2 linked regions of the Xenopus tropicalis genome follow. The protein of the gene in region 1 interacts with the protein of each later gene in a pairwise test. Links are inferred from orthologs where the notes say so. Each region holds a gene or a part of one and is shown in the gene's direction. Other genes may lie near its edges.

What was found.
Region 2: the proteins of map1a (region 1) and rhob interact in a two-hybrid assay, tested with the Homo sapiens proteins (2 studies listed by BioGRID and IntAct). The link is inferred for Xenopus tropicalis from reciprocal best matches to the Homo sapiens genes MAP1A and RHOB.

What each region holds. Positions count from the first base shown.
Region 1 is NC_030679.2:107,201,073-107,204,723, forward strand, and holds part of map1a (microtubule-associated protein 1A), read left to right. Parts: coding exon 1-2,260; intron 2,261-3,527; coding exon 3,528-3,651. UniProt on the Homo sapiens protein: Structural protein involved in the filamentous cross-bridging between microtubules and other skeletal elements.
Region 2 is NC_030681.2:143,341,331-143,345,324, forward strand, and holds rhob (rho-related GTP-binding protein RhoB), read left to right. Parts: upstream 1-1,455; 5' UTR 1,456-1,626; coding exon 1,627-2,217; 3' UTR 2,218-3,480; downstream 3,481-3,994. UniProt on the Homo sapiens protein: Mediates apoptosis in neoplastically transformed cells after DNA damage. Not essential for development but affects cell adhesion and growth factor signaling in transformed cells. Plays a negative role in tumorigenesis as deletion causes tumor formation.

The sequences.
Region 1 (3,651 bases):
GAAAAAGGTGCAAAAGAAAAATCTGAGAAGGAAATAACTACTGATATGGATGAAAAAGAATTACATGAAAATATTATAGAAGAAGAGAGAGTGTCTGATTACATATTACATTCCGAGCAAACACAGCATGATTTAAATTCAAATGTTCACGACCAAAGCAGCACAGTACAAATAAGGGGTGAAGCAGCTGTAGAACATCCCACTTTTGACAATACAGGGTATAATATCTATGAAAATAAACAAAACAAAGTATTCAGTGATATTGAATATACATATTGCCCATTCAGTGCACAATTTGACTCTTCAGATGTTACAGATGAACGTCACCAAACAGATCACCAAGAATCACAAAGCTTTTCACATTCACATAAAGAAGATACATTTTTAGAAAGCTGCAGTCTTGGTCAAAATGACGAAGCACCAAGTGCATTAGAAAGGGAGCTTCCAGAACCAAAATGGGAATATCTATCTGAGGCAACATTTTCAGAAAAGGAAACCTACAATTTACCACCTTCTGCTTTAAGCGAGCATCACTTTGAATCATTGCCCTACACTGGTATCAACGCATTAGGCACAAATTGTATGACTATATCAGATGTAGCAACAGGGCAACATGATGAATACCTACAGGTTTCTGAAAGGGCTTGTGAAATGGACTCCTCTCAAGACAAACACTCAATGTTAAGTTCACCTGATCACTCACCACTAAGTCTGACTGAGGAGAAACCTTCAATACCTAAAATTCCTTATGAACAATATTCAGAGCTAGATGCCCAGAAAGAGGAATCTCAAAGCATTTCGGGATCATCTTCTGAAGCTAGTACACCTGTTAGAAGGGATATTGCTGAAGGTTTATATTCACATATGATTAGTACTTACACTGCAGATACCGAAGCAACTGTTAGAAGTCTGTGGGATGTATCACCTCTGGTTCCTGCTGATTCCACCAAGCCCTGTTTGGCAGAAGAAAAGGATTCAGCTGGAGATCATAATTCTGCTTGTTCCTATGATACGGATGATAATACATTGCCATGCAGAATAGAGTGCAAGAGACCAACTTGCATGATGATGTCCATTATGAATGAGCAAATGAGCAGTGGTGAAACAACTTCAGCAACAATGCAATCATATTCTAGTCTGGTGCCATCATGTCAAAAGGAAGAAACATCCACAGCAAATGGTCCCACAGAAGTTAATAACAGCCAAGAGTTTTTTCAAAACATCCAATATAAAGAAGGTGAATGTTTTTCAGCAGCAGTAAAAACCTCACCTGATTCTGACAGAGATTCATCTCCATGCTCTGAGGAGGATACAGAGAAACCAAACCGACCTTCTTCTCTTATGTCCCCTGTACATACATTAGAGTCTTACTCTTACACACAAAGTCCTGAGAGAACAGAAGACCACGGTGATGCCTCTCATGAGTTTGAGCCTCGGTTAGGATCATCAAGTGAATATGAGCGCATGTTGTCATCATCTGAATATCTACACAGAAAAGGCGAACTTTCTCCTTCATTCATCAACCCAAGTCCTCTTGACTTATCAGATGACAGTGATCTCTCACAAGATGAAGGTCATCCTTCTGTTAAAGGTAGGACACACCATGCAAATGCAAATACATGCCATGTTCAAGGCACAACAGCTGAGGAAACACCACCTACATCTGTTAGTGACTCAGGAACCTCTCAATCTGATTCTGATGTTCCACCAGAAACTGAAGAGTGTCCCTCCATAACTGCTGATGCTGCAATGGATTCAGATGAAGATGCTGATTTTCTTCCTGTGGATAAAGCAATGGGGAATTCACACCACAGCAATACAAGGCAAGGTCATGATCCTCATCCTGCTCCAATGATGGACCCTCAGCCTCACCCTCCTCACCCTGATGTTTGCATGGTAGATCCAGATGCTTTAGTTAATGAATTAAATTTCAGTAAAGGGGACAAGGTGCTCAAAAAAGATCTAAAAGAGAAAAACAAAGGAGTCAGAAAACCATTAACAAAAGTCAAATCAACTTCTCCTGCTAGGAAAGCAGACTCTAAGTATTCCTCAACACTCTCTAAACAAACATCCAGGGACTCAGCTGATAAATCTCACAAAACTACAGCTATAAGGAAAGATAAGGAATCTGCTGAAAAACTGCAGAAACCAAGAAGCCCGATGCAGACACAGTTCTCTAGAGGGGAAGAAAAAGACGAAGTGTCTAAAGGCAGTTACAGTAATACTAGCAAGATGGTTAATGGCATCAAGTCATCTACAGGTAAATACATATTCCACGTCTATTGTATTTTCTGTGCAATATTTTTATTTATAGGGATGAGACACTGTTTTATAGATAAAACCACAAAAGTTTAGGAAGATTTTATCTGTCTTACCCTTGAAATATAGTGCCAAATCCAGGAGTTGTGGGACATAAGCACACACACAAACAATTACCAAGTCCATTTATTAACGATTGGTTAAAACATTACTGATCATTTAAAATATGACAGTTTAGTTTCCATACAGAACAATTTCTTTCAGTACAAAAAATAATTGTCTGAATTTAGTCCCCACTTGCAATTTTTTAGATGGGTGTTTGTGCTCAGTGCTGCTGCTGCTGAGATATGTTGCGCACTAACACCCAATTGAAGCTGGATTGTGTTTAACTGCACAAAGCAATATTTGGCAGAATTTAAACATCTGTCTGCTTTAATAAATGTGTGAGCTTGTCAACGTTTTTCCAACAAGTGAAGGGAAAATGTACATGAATGCAAATTAGGAGAAAACTGCTGAAGAAGTATGTGTGTATATATACAGTACTTGTGCAGCAAAATGTAATATGCATTAAATACTTCAGATAAATCCCTATATTAACAGTAATAATCAACAATAAACAACAAATACACAAAAACATTTTCACATAGGGCTCTCTGAAGCTGGAATCCATGGCAAAAGCTCTACTGCAGGGGTCCTACTGCAGTTCACAGTCCCTCAGACTGTGGGGGGCCGAACTATAGTTAGTCCTCAAACTACGGCCCCCACCCCCATTGTATCCTCAACCTTAGCTACTACCTGTCTGTCCCAGTGTGGTCCTTGGCCCCAGCGTGTCACGTCATCGCATTATACCGGCAACCACTAATGACGCATCCAGCGAGGACCACACTAAGGCAGACAGGTAGTAGCCAGGGGTGAGGATAGGGCGGGGGCTAGGTAAATTACCTTGGGGGGCGTAGTTTGAGGACCCATGGTCTACTGGCTCATCCTAGAAAAAAAAGTGTGTGTTTGACCTATCAGAACTGACCAGTAGTTGGTATTAAAGTTGTCAACTAGATGGCATACTGCACAATGAAAATGTTGTCTAGCATGAGTGATACAGTAATAGCAATATATTGATACAATATTTCAACCAGCACAATAAGACCTTGTATTAATAAATGTGGTAAAACACTGTAATAAGTAAAGAGTTAATATGATGACCAAACTGTTCTTCAGCTGCTATAAATACTGTATATATGCTATATATTCATGCTTTTTACCATTTTCAGGTCTCAGCGGCTCCAAAGCAAGTTCCACAGTTCCACCTGGGCCACCAGTCTATGTTGACTTGGCATATATTCCTAATCACTGTAATGAGAAGAATACGGATTTGGAGTTCTTTAAGAGAGTTCG
Region 2 (3,994 bases), on another chromosome or scaffold:
GCTATATCTCTGGGGGCCAGCTATATCTCTGGGGTCCTGCTATATCTCTGGGGGCCCCTCTATATCTCTGGGGGCCCCGCTTTATCTCTGGGGGCCCTGCTATATCTCTGGGGGCCCTGCTATATCTCTGGGGGGCCCTCTATATCTCTGGGGGCCCCGCTTTATCTCTGGGGGCCCTGCTATATCTCTGGGGGCCCTGCTATATCTCTGGGGGCCTGCTATATCTCTGGGGGTCCCGCTATATCTCTGGGGGCCCCGCTATATCTCTGGGGGTCCTGCTATATCATTGGGGGCCTGCTACATCTCTGGGGGCCCCGCTATATCTCTGGGGGCCCTGCTATATCTCTGGGGGCCCTGCTATATCTCTGGGGGTCCCGCTATATCTCTGGGGGCCCTGCTATATCTCTGGGGGCCCTGCTATATCTCTGGGGGCCTGCTATATCTCTGGGGGCCCCGCTATATCTCTGGGGGTCCTGCTATATCATTGGGGGCCTGCTACATCTCTGGGGGCCTGCTATATCTCTGGGGGCCCCGCTATATCTCTGGGGGCCCGCTATATCATTGGGGGCCTGCTACATCTCTGGGGGTCCTGCTATATCATTGGGGGCCTGCTACATCTCTGGGGGCCCGCTATATCTCTGGGGGCCCCGCTATATCTCTGGGGGCCCTGCTATATCATTGGGGGCCTGCTATATCTCTGGGGGCCCCGCTATATCTCTGGGGGTCCTGCTATATCATTGGGGTCCTGCTATATCTCTGGGGGTCCTGCTATATCATTGGGGGCCCGCTATATCTCTGGGGGCCCCGCTATATCTCTGGGGGCCCGCTATATCATTGGGGGCCTGCTACATCTCTAGGGGCCCGCTATATCTCTGGGGGCCCCGCTATATCATTGGGGGCCTGCTACATCTCTGGGGGTCCTGCTATATCATTGGGGGCCAGCTATATCTCTGGGGGCCCGCTATATCTCTGGGACCCCACAGCAGTTGCAGGGTCTCCTTCCTTTAGGGTCACACCCCCTCTCCATTTAGACTGTAAGCTCTTTCGGTCCTTTATCATCACTGATAGCGTTTATTACAGCACAAACTCTGACATAGTATATCGCTAACACGCTGCTAAACTGAGTAGAGCTACTAAAGGGCAAGTTAATACTTTAGGGGGCTCTTCCCCATTCCCCCCACATAACAGCTGAACCCCACATGTCACCGTGTCTCTCCGCCGCCGGGACAATATCAGCCCCTCATCCCCTTCCCCCAGCAGCTCAAGTAAAGAATCCGCCAGTGTCACAGAGTCAGCGGCATGAGGCCACGCCCAGCCACTCTCCTCCTCCAATCATCGCACGGCTTCTCTGTGCATAACGTCACCGGCGCCCCGCTCATTGGCTGGCTATATTAAGAACGCAGCTTGCCTGTTTATAAGGCCGGAGCGCTGCATTACTGGGTGTGAATGAGCTCTGAGAGCCGAGCGGTGTGGTTGTGTGTGAGAGAGCTGCTCTAGCGGTACCGGCGTGTAGTACCGAGGAACTGCATCCTACAGACCCGTCTCTTTCTGAGAGGCCTCGCCATTAGAGCCATAGGCAAGCTGAGAAAGCACCGGGCAGCCTCTAGCAGCAGCAGCCGGGCAGCCATGGCCGCGATACGCAAGAAGCTGGTGGTGGTCGGGGACGGAGCTTGCGGCAAAACCTGCCTCCTCATCGTCTTCAGCAAGGACGAGTTCCCCGAGGTGTACGTTCCCACCGTGTTCGAGAACTACGTGGCCGATATCGAGGTGGACGTGAAGCAGGTGGAGCTGGCCCTGTGGGACACGGCGGGGCAGGAGGACTACGACCGGCTGCGGCCTCTCTCCTACCCCGACACGGACGTCATCCTCATGTGCTTCTCCGTGGACAGCCCGGACTCGCTGGAGAACATCCCGGAGAAGTGGGTGCCCGAGGTGAAGCACTTCTGCCCCAGCGTCCCCATCATCCTGGTGGCCAACAAGAAGGACCTGAGGAACGACGAGCACGTCCGCAACGAGCTGGCCCGCATGAAGCAGGAGCCGGTCCGCACCGAGGACGGCAGGGCCATGGCCGTGAGGATTAACGCCTTCGAGTACCTGGAGTGCTCGGCCAAGACCAAGGAAGGGGTCCGGGAGGTGTTCGAAACGGCCACTAGGGCGGCGCTGCAGAAGAAACACGGCCGGAGCGGTGAATGTATGAGCTGCTGTAAGCTCCTCTGATCCCCCCCGGACTCATCCTGCTCTGCACAGAGGGGACATTCCGCCTGAGACACTATTGCTTCCGGTAGTACAGGGAGAGGGGGGACTGCCCTTCCCTGGGACCCAGCTCAGAGCCACAGGGGCTGCTACCCCACAGCTGAGCCGCCATCATGGAACATGGAGAATGAGTGGGGTATTGGGGCATCACCATGGGCATCTCCTTGCCCCAGAGCCTCAGTATTACCCTGTACATAGGACTTCTGTCTCTCCATCTTGTCATGCCTTGTGGGGGGGAGAAGCTGCATGGGCTGTACCCCAACTGCCATCTTTTCTACCCCCTTTGTGCCCTTTAATGTTTCACGCTCAGGGCAGCGGGGAGTTGTGTAGCTGTTCCACGTAGTCGCCCTCATACTGTTACATTGGGGGTTATTCCTATAGCCACATTGGCTAGCAAACCCCGCAATCCGGCTACGAGCAGCAGCTACAAAACTGTCATTTGCTGAGCTGTAACTGTGACCCCCCCTCAGGGGTAGAGAGGCATTAACCACTTCAGTGCTGAACTAAAACCAGCTGTGCATTGATTGCTGGGCTCTCCCATTGCACCAAAGGGGGCAGGGGGGAATACTTTTGGATACATTTTTGTTCTGAATGATCAGAACCGGGTAAAATGTTTTTCTGTGACTTTCGCAAATTTAATTTTTTTTTTTGCACATTTTCCCCCTTTATTTTTGACGTTTAACGCACTTGCCATCCTCAAGTGTAACACTAGGGACTCATTCTTTGCACACTGATCTGTCCTTTAATAACTGCGGCATGGCGTGTTAGTGCAGCGGCACAAGGGGCAACGTGGGGGTGCTCTAACGGCCACTTGGTGTTTAGTAGCCCCCCATAGAATGTAATGAGAAGTGCTGAGGGTGCTACTATTGCACCGTGCTACAGAAAAATGCAGCACAAAGTGCCCAATGTTGCCCCATGTGCTGTGGCCCTTAGCCTTCATGCCTCCCAACAGCTCTTAGCCACAGTCTGGGGAATGTTGGGAGTTGCAGTTGAGTCGTTATGTTTTCCTTATTCTGCAACTGACACTACATTGTTAAAGTCCAGTTTGGGGGAGGGGGGGGGGGTAAAAAAGCTATTTTTGGACAGTGGTACTAAATTTGTGATTTTCAAGACAAAACAAAGCTGACAGAACAGTATGAAATGAATTTTTGAATGTTTACATAAAATGTTGATATGTATATATTGGTTTTTATGTGAAATATTAAAAAAAAGCACTATGTAAACCTATTTCCCTTGCATTGTGTTTATTAGGTTAATGCTGTAATATGGTGCTAAACTGCATCTCTCTGCACCTCTTTGGGAATGTAGTGCTGGGCATCTGCATGGTGTTCTACATCTGTATATGAAGGAAGAGTTATTGTTTATGCATTGGGATGCTAATTTATGACTATGGCTGCACTGATTGAAACTGGAGAAACTACAACTCCCAGCACACACCACTAGCCCAGCCATGTACCTCAGAAGGCTAACTGGTTAGGTTTTACAGTTCATTTGCAACTGCCATTGAAAACCGTATCAGTCAGGTTGTTTTTATCTCCTGAAACAATGTAGCAGAAGCCAGTGGATTAACTGGCCTGCAGGATAACTGGTTTATGCTACATTGTTTCAAAAGTCGGAACCAGAGAACAGTGAAGGGCTGACATATTGCTATCAATGGCAATCACATTTGCTATAGTTTAACTGCTTCAGGGCCATAAGCTGGCTACTCCTGATTTTAGGGCTCCCACCTTTTTAGCTTAGT